2 linked regions of the Drosophila melanogaster genome follow. The protein of the gene in region 1 purifies or fractionates together with the protein of each later gene. This does not show direct contact. Each region holds a gene or a part of one and is shown on either strand. Other genes may lie near its edges.

Region 1 (4,011 bases):
TCTGACCTATCAAGTATGAAACAATATAAAAAGAAATTGATTATCTTTTTAGAAACGCCGACCACCAGCTTTCTTCCAAAATTTGAACAATACTCTTCAGACAATGATGGACTGCTTTAAAATGGGCAACCTTCAAACTTCAGACATAAAAATATTGTCTTCAATTCAAAGTCGACTAAGGCTTTATTCCCTGGAGACATCGGATCTTATTCATCAGTATTACTTGGAGCGTCTAGAAAACCAAAAGAGCCAAGAGTCATCTCCATATGGACAACTTACCATCACGGCTCAGTTAACTGATACCGGCTTATTGGTAGGACTTCAATCATTTGAAACATAAAATCCGCTTAATGAGTTAAATATCTTATAGTTAAATATCTTAAATGCTCGCAATCTGCTGCCAATGGATTCAAATGGTTCGGTGGACTCATTTGTTAAGGCCAGTTTCATGCCCACAAGTCGATTCAACGACGTACCCACTGTGAAGACCAACGTGCACAACAAAAGTTGTTTTCCGCTTTACGATCAGGAGTTTCGTATGTAAGTAGTTACTTTTTAATTTATGCATCCATATATAAATATACCTTCATTCGGCAGAAACTTGAGTGACCACCAGCGAAGTGAAAAGAATAGTCTTATTGTATTTAGCATCAAAGATAAAGATTTATTCGGCATGTCGAGCCAGTATATAGCAGAGAGCTATATATCTTTCGCAGATCTGGAAGCGACACCACCGGGCGAGCAAATAATGATGAATCTATCCAGACCAGAGTATACAGGTACCTAATCATACTTTTGGCAGATTAAAACTGGAAACTTATACATGTTATGTGCTTTCAGATTCCGAATCACTGCGTGCCTTGGAATACAGACTAGGTGATAAGCAGGCCAAGGATTTCCTTAAAAAGCTGAAGAACCGATCCTTCTCCTAAATTGTGAAAAGTTATACGTTGTAAAGAAAAGCAATAAAACTGTATTTTTATATTTTCTACGGCAATCGTACTAAAATTTACAAAGTTGCGTTTTGAAATGGGCCCCATTTATGGACTGAAACTTATGAAGAAAAGATTTGCATTGTCTGACAGTTTTAATTACATTTATTGGAACAAAAACCAACGCGGTAATTAGTTACAAATACATAACACTCACTTTTTACGATTAAAGAGTAATTTTCCAGAGTTTCTTTGTAATAAATAATATATAAATGGTATTTGTGTTAAATTATATTATTCGTAAAGGGCTTGATACGTGCATATCAGCATGGTCTAATGGCAAAAACTACTATGGCACAAGTTTTTGCCGATGTGCCTTATTGGCGACGACGTGTGTTGCGTTGCTTATCAAATCGCATTTCCATTTCCTCGAGAACCTTTGGTGTGTAGCGTACCACCAGCTTTACAGATCCGACAGCTTGCTTTAATAGCTCTACGGCCTTCTCGTGGTTTTCTCCTTCGACAGACTGAAATATTGATATTTTGCAAGTTCTTAAGGAGTTAAGGTACATAACTGAATTAATGACTTACCACACCATTCACAGACAAAAGTTGATCTCCCCTTTTCAGACCACCATGCCTGTCAGCCACGCCTCCAGGTATTATTCGGGATATATAGATGGGCGAGTTTTGCTCCTTGCCCCCCATTACATTGAAACCCAAGCCTGAAAAACAAAAATTAAAGATTGATAAAGCTTTCCATATAAGATGTATAATAGAAACATATATTCTCGGTCTATAGACCTTTACAATCAAGGTATTGGTTTTATGATATAGGGGAATCCCCTCGATTCTTAGCTCATAGGGGCGTGTCTTACCCTCCTCCGTTTTCGGGAGCTCGACGACTCTGGGATGAGCGTGCCCCTCGCTGGCTGCGAAGGCTGCCACAGTGGCCTTGGCAGTGGCGGATGCCCTCACGTCGTGGGAGCCCTGGATGTCCACCGTCTCGTAGACGTGCTCGTACACCTCCCGCACGGAGGTCATGAAGTCCGAGTTGAGCACCTTCTGCAGGGCGGCCAGTTTTGTCGTGGGGAAGTCGCCACTCGCTTGCAGCTTTTCCAAGAGCTCTATCGATCTTTTGACATCTGAAAGTTAGAGCATTGGGTGTGAGTTTCCTCCAACTGGGAATGGTTAGCATGCACCCTTACCTCTGGACAAAGTCAGTGGTTCTGCGTTATCGGCCATATTGCTGTTCAATTTAATAATAATCAGTCAAATTGAGCTGACCTGAAATATTATTCGAGCAGCTGAAAATAATATGACCATACGTCTCAGGGGCACAAAATACCATTCCGTGAAATTATATTCTCTATTTGAAATAATTTGGTTTAATAAAATAGTAACAAAAGTTATATTTTTTATATTTAACAATATATCATATACTTATAATCTAATCTCAGTACTTTTCGTTTAAAAAATTATCTTTTGAAACAAACAAGTTTCTTGAAAGTGTGGTATTTTATGCACGTACATCCATGGTCATATTATTTTATATTGATATTATTTCCGCACCGTATTTATTTAAACTAACAATAGAATAATAGCAAAATGAGCCTGCCAGCTGCACTATTGCAGCGCCTGAAGAAGCGCGGACTTGTGACCAAACAGTCGGGTAAATACAAAGACCAGTATAGAATCCAAAAAGAGGATAACCAACTTCAGCTTTCCACAGGAGCAGCACCGATTTCAGAAGCTATAGAAGAGATTATAGCCGAGAACTACGATGACGATGACAAGAGCGGCCCTTACCCGTACAAGGAGGACACATCGCCGGAGCCCAAGCGCAGGAGCGTCGAGGAGAAGTTCTGGTCGCACCGCATCAAGGAGCGGATCGGCGTGAACGAGTCCTACCATGGCTACAAGCTGTGTCCCAACAAATACAACATATACCACAAGTGCTCGCTGTACTGCGTAAACAAGTTCAACAGCTCGCCGCTTTCGCAGCCCAGCCATAGGTATCTCAAGCGCTACAAGAGATTGCTGCGGAAGTATCCACTGGAGGCGGGCTGGAAGGATGTCTACGATAAGGGCTGCAAGGCGTTTTACTTCTATAACTCGACCACACAGACTGTTTCGTGGCTACCTCCTTCGCATCCCAAAGCACGGATCACCAACAGCGCCGCAGTGTTTCGCAGACAACTGGCCAACTCCAACGATGAGTTCAACTTCGATACCAACATGGTTCAGCCCAAGTCTTCTAACCAAAATGAACCCGACGAGCCCGACGTATTCGTTCCCGCCAAGAAGCAAAAGTCCAGGGACCTGGAACGAAAAATCCAACGACGTCGCCGTAATGATAACTAGCACTACTAACTAGCCATTTGACTTATGAGCTGTAGATCGCTACTGTTCAAATAAAAATGAATAACTATGATAGATATTAAGGTTTAAAAATGTACACTCTGCTTTATTGAATTGCTAGCTTAAGACAATGAATGGTGGAGCCGCGAACAGATTTAAATCGAAGGAACCGGAAATTTTACGAAAGCAGCAACTCGATAAAATTGTGTCGCACGAGTCGGGAAGTATGTGAAAGTTGAATTTGAGGCGGCGATTAAAGCCCTCAACATGAGGATGCGGTGGACACACTTTCACCAAACTATGTGCTATGTGTAAAGTGTTTTAACCAAGTTATATATATTGGTGAAAGATCAATACAATTATTTTTTTTTTGGGTTTATTTCAAGGTTCGTTTTCCCTTAACAACAACCGGTCGGTTTCGTATGTAGCCCTTGCGACGCTTAGAGTTCTGCAAAGAATCAGATTGTTAATGAAGTTCATTGGGAGCTGCAGGGTACACTACCTTTCTCGAAATGAAGTTTGCTGGAGGAATCGTTCTCTCCTTGGTCTTCAGTGATGGTCTATTGAACTCATGCGGCTTCTTCACCCTATAGATGCGAACAAGCCAGTGTTCTGTGGTGTAGGCCTCCTCCAGGTAGGTCAGATCGAAGTCCTTATTCCCAATGACGGCGTTACGTGTGCGATCATATCCAGATGGACCTCTGAAACAGGCAGTTAG
Region 2 (5,551 bases), on another chromosome or scaffold:
TTTTCGTTTTTCCGTTTTTACAATAATATTGATCGATTCGTAATTAGCACCTGAAGTGGGCTTATTAATTTTCACACGGAAAATGGTTTATGAACATTGTTGAATTCGAAAGAGAGAGGGCAGAGAGAGCACCAACTAACTGTTGCTTTTCGGTTTCAAGCCGCCCGTTTAAGCCACGCTCACAAACACCACCGTGAAAACACCTATACTACAGTCAGGCACCAATGCTCACTCATTCGAATGGGCCGAAACCAACGAAGCGCGCGTTTCAAACCGGAATGTGAACCTCACCTTAGCACTGTTCGCAACTAACTGACTCACGAGCTATGGAAGCAAGCGGCGAGAGCTAGTGAGCAAGTTAGGGCTAGCTTTGTTTGCTGCTCAGTTCGCTTGCCGCTGGCTTGCCGTGAAAAAAGCTCCGCGTGAGCCAAGTTACAACTGTACGCAGTCTGTTATCCACATGTTAGCTTGTACTTAACAGTGACTTAAAACCAGCAGTGACGCGCCCTCTCTTTCTGTTAATGAAAACCATTTGAAACTGTAGAAAACTTTTTAAAATACAAATATGTACATACTTGGGGTATATCTAAAATATAACAATAACCAACATTAAAATGTTCTGTTAAATGTTATACTGAAATTAAATAATCTGATCTTAGCTTTCCAAATATTATAATTCAAATGTTGCTGAAACATATTTATTTAACTAGCTTTATACTTTGTTCAGTAAAACAGAACCTTAAATAAGTAAGTTTGGCTATAACATGCTTTGCAATGTTTTTACCAACTACTTCAGTGATCTTAACAGCATCTTATAGCAAGCTTTTTCGATCTCCCGACCACAGCTGCATTAGTAGGCCAACGAGCTGGGCGCTTTTTGTGCATCGTTTTCGAGCGCAGGTAGCATAAAAAGCGTAGTGTTTACGTTGGAAAATGTTTCCAAACCGGTTTCCTTATTCACACTCAAATACACACAACTTCTTTGGGGCGTTGATGTCAAAGAGTTGGCACGGCGACTTGCGTCGAGTTTTATGTAATCTGCATAAAATGGGGGAGTGTTCCAAGGAGCGGTGACGACAGGCGAGTTGGGGAAAGGAAAACAGGGGAGCTGGTAGTGACATTTCATATTTTCTTATCTCGTGACTCGTGGCTTAATTACTTTCACTGCCTTTCTCAACAGCCGCCGACCACAGCAGAAAACCACAAACGAATGAGCCTGCCCAGGAAAATGCCTCGGAAAATGTTGGATTCTAATTATGGTCGTCGTCACACGATGTCGCTTTCCATAATATTTGTTGTATTTGGCTTTTCCGTACTGCTAGTTTGGGTCTTAATAATCATTGTTTTACGCCTATTTTTTACATACTATTTAATTCCCCACTTCTTTATTATTCGCCAACAGAATAACTTTACATCTTAGAAAGGGCATCTTCAATTTTGAAAATTAATTTTTAAAAATTAATTAAAATATTTTGTTATTTTTCTTGTATACAGAGCACAACAAATTCGTTTTAATTTTGGTTGTAACTGCCTCTCATTGTTTTTCTAGTTGACCTGCGTGTTTGCCGCAGGAACAGCAAATAATATTTACAATTTGATTAGGCTACAAACTTTTTGGCAGTTCTTTTACCGTAAGAAACCTTCGAGGAGGCGCTAAATGTGTCGGGTCAAGATAATTTCCACTTCAATGGTTATGTCACGATGATCTAATAAAATGCCTCCCATCTGCATAAAGGCAACTCATCTGCCGAGGCAATAGAGGTCAAGTTTAGTGCGAAAACTCAAAAGAGGAAGGCAAAAATAAAATAGCAAGTGCTAATGGGCCATTACGAAGTCAAAAAAAAAAAAAAAAACAATTGCAGTGCATGGCTAAAGCGAGAAAATCTTTTAAAATACAGAAGGATTTTCTTTTCTTTTTGGCGCTTGTGGAGGCAAGGAAAATGATGTAATAAGAAAAGCAAACACACGCACATACAAGCAGCCCGGAAAATTCTATCTAGACCGAAAAATCAGCATGCAATGCCATCGATGAAGTAAACACAAATGTGGAAAGTGTGTGCGTGTGTGTGGCTGGGTATGGAAAATGGGTGGAAAACCGTATGCGCAATTTTCTTATTGAGCAGATGCTCGAAGGCGTTTAAGTGGGTCAGAAATTGTACAGAGATATTTTCTCTCGCCTTTTTACGTTTATATGTTCTGGTCTACTTGCCATCAGTTCCTTGTGGGGCGTGTTGGAGTTACTACGCAGCAATCCCTTGAGGAAGATCTCATCGTGGTCGGATAGGTCAGTCGAGTTGCGAAAGGCGGCTAAAACGGAGCGAAAGTGTTTTAGATTAATCGCAGTCGTTAAATGACAATCGGAAACAGATGAAATGACATTCGTTTTGGCAGCTTAATGCTACCCTTTTCAATTCATACAATTCATACAATGATGGAATTCTAGAGGGAAATATTTAGATATACATGCATCTGATTTTTCGTTTTATAATCATATTCTTTGTTATCGATTTATTGTAAATACATTTAAAGACCGCATATCTTCAAACAGGTTTCAGATTATTCTTAGCTATGAGTACAAATCATTATATTTACTTCAAGCAGGCTTACTGAAATGCAACATAACTCTTGTCTCGTTTCACTTTTTGAATATGAATTGAAATATTTAGTTTGTAAATCTTTTAACTATTTAAACAACTGAAATCTTCAAAATTAAAACTTTATTAACAGAGCCTTAAAGGAAAAAGAAACAACAATAAAATGATAGTTTGGAATTTCGTATGAACTTCGCTTAAAATTCTCCTTTTGAGGACACCCCTGGCACGTACCGTTATCGGAGGTATCGTCCTCGCCATTCACTTTGTTGTTTCTGGCCAATAGCTCCACTTTATCCTGGCGAGCTTGGCGCCGCGACCGCGCGCTCCACCGAACCATTTTGAAGGAACTGGGAGGTGGCCAAAATAACAGACCGAATGAAGTAACCCCGGAGGACAGTCTCGTATTTCGGCCAAAAAAGGGTTATAACCCTTGTGTTTTTTTTCTTAGCCAGCCATATGCTTAGCTACTTGAACAGAACATGTCTTCCAGTGATAATCACTTGTTGTTATTGTTATAAACACAACGCCACGCAAACAACAAAAACAATAGCGCGGCTAAGAATTTCACTCCTCCAACAGCGCAAAAACAACCGACTTGTTTGTGAGAAAGAGGCTAACTAAACTGAAAACCGCTTTTGTTGCAGGTGATGCCAAAATCAAAGCTCCTTAAAACGAGAAAGCTTTTGCAGACAAAAAGTCAAATAACGTGTGCCTATCGGTTTTTAAATATTGTGCTTATCGGCGCCACTTCTTTGTTGGGTCGGTACGGTAAATGTACTTTATGTACGGAGTTCGAAAGCCTGTCATAAAAATGCATTCCACTGTTCTCAGGCCATTTAAATTTAATATTGTTTATTATCTTTAATTTTGCTTGTGATTGCTTTTTCTATAGCTATAACATAGCTAAAAATGGATGGCTTGGGAATCGCTGATGGTTTGTGCCATTGATAAACCGTGCGTTAATATTATAAAAAATTTACTTCGATTTGTACATAAATATGTACTCTAAACTGGACGACCAATAAATGTTCGTTCATATGCCAATTAGAAATCAATTTAATTAAATAGTCTTTAAATTGCTTATGGAACTTTATTTATGCCTTAACAAAACTCTGGGATGCAACAAACTTCGTTACTTCAATAAATATGCAATATTTTATTTCTATTAATCGAAAGGGTAATAGACGTCGACTTGCCATAGATGAAAAAACATCGTTTCTCGCTTGCGGTATTTTTCGAAGTTTCAGCATGCTTCGGTATTTTTCGGCTGAAACGATGCGACAGCTCTTGTTTTCATTCCGTTTTGAGCAGCGTGCGCGTACGGTGCTTTCCTCGCATGAAGAGTAAAAACAAATTAAATACCACTGTGGAATAACATCTCAGCGAACGAGTATACGTCGGAAACCGATTTGTCGCGCTAAGTAACACGAGATGCTTTTGGGATTCAAAAAAACCCATATTTATGTGATGATATATTAATGTAAACCCACTGTTTCGTTTACATTTTCGTTTTTGAATGACTGGCTGCGGAAATAACTATAGATTCGCGAAAGTACACTAAATCAGGCAGTAAAATCGGATTGGCAATCTTGGGAAAAAATCGAAGGAAAAGAGACGCCAGCAGCTTCCTCGGATTGTTTTGTTGTTTTCAGTTCGTTAGTGTGTGGCCGTTTTTCCGCCTGTGTTTGTGCAACAAAGTCAAAGTCGTCGAAGCTGCTGCAAAAATACGTGAAATGCAAATTGTGAAAAAGTTGCAAAAGCAACAACAGCAACTAGCAACAACCAACAACAACGCAACGACAACTATAACCGCAATCACACGGCCAACGCAACAATAACAACGGCCACAACAAAACGGCTTCGCGTGTTTTGAAAAATTGCATTGCAAATTAGTAATTAGCAACAACTAAAACAATAGCAATAAAAAAAAGGAAAATTGCGCGCCAAAATCGAAAGAAACAAAAGGATTACACATAAACAAACCGAAGAAGCAGAAGCAGCTGAGCGAAAGAGAGAGATAGCGAAAAATCAAAACAGAACAGGCAGAAATTCCTGTTTATCCACCTTCACCTCCGGCGACACCCCCCGTCGTGGTGAGTTACTTGTCTTTCGGTATTTGTGCCTTGTATCTTTCTTTTTGGTTCTTGTTTTATCCTCCGTCCGATTTGCTGTATGTCCTGCTGTAAAAAAAATTCGCCAAAAGTGCAAAAGTCAAGGCCCCCGTTTGATTCGCGCCCCTTTGACCATTGTGCGCAAGAAACCCGCAAATGTGCAAAAAATTTAGCTCAGCCATCGAGAGTCCTTGATTTTAGAGGCACAGTGGTTAAATGAGTGCCAAATGGTCGGCATGGTAACAGAAGTTTATTACATTTTTCTATTCTTAAACTGTTTCTTTATATAAACCTCATAAATAAACGCAGTTTTTAAATATATAAATGCCCAGATACGTTTTGAATTGTTTTATATTGAATGCCCTTTGATATAAAATAACACTCAACCTATTGGCAGACTCAGCTGGGAATTGAGCAATTTAAATATATATTTATACATGGAGAAATATGGATTTGAAATTTGCACCTTAACAATATAACAAAGGGTAACACAATGCTGATTAATGCACTGTGACGAAATCGGGGGAAAAAAAACGACTATTCGAATAATATACGCAAATGTCGAATGTAGTCAGGTAGAAAAGTGCCATATTTCGATTTCCAACAACCCTGAACAAGATTACGTGCCTTCTTTCCTGTCACGGGAATTGGCCAGCATCGGGTTACCTTGAGAATCGAGAACCCAAAACCGATAGTGTGTGGAGAATTCAGGAATGCGATTTGATCATTTCGACCTGAACCGGGCTTATAAACCGGCCTGATGATGTAATCTCCAAACCGGATTGTCTGCCGTAGATCCTTGTTTTGAATGGTTATTGTTTTCTAGCCCCCTAAACCGGATATAAT

Evidence for each region. The genes of interacting proteins can lie anywhere in the genome.
Region 2: the proteins of veli (region 1) and vari purify together in Drosophila melanogaster (affinity purification with western blotting, with the first as the bait; one study listed by BioGRID). This does not show direct contact.

What each region holds. Positions count from the first base shown.
Region 1 is NT_033777.3:25,063,338-25,067,348, forward strand, and holds veli (veli), read right to left. Parts: upstream 2,255-4,011; 5' UTR 2,178-2,254; coding exon 2,141-2,177; intron 2,078-2,140; coding exon 1,524-2,077; intron 1,460-1,523; coding exon 1,310-1,459; 3' UTR 1,081-1,309; downstream 1-1,080. Other genes in the region: stac (staccato), read left to right, coding at 53-313, 371-540, 598-779, 841-932; PQBP1 (Poly-glutamine tract binding protein 1), read left to right, coding at 2,541-2,604, 2,665-3,296; Stt3B (catalytic subunit 3B of the oligosaccharyltransferase complex), read right to left, coding at 3,670-3,741, 3,796-3,994.
Region 2 is NT_033779.5:20,793,828-20,799,378, forward strand, and holds the start of vari (varicose), read right to left. Parts: upstream 3,216-5,551; 5' UTR 2,932-3,215; coding exon 2,826-2,931; intron 2,308-2,825; coding exon 2,210-2,307; intron 1,429-2,209; exon of another isoform or gene 1,181-1,428; intron 1,112-1,180; exon of another isoform or gene 979-1,111; intron 320-978; exon of another isoform or gene 233-319; intron 1-232.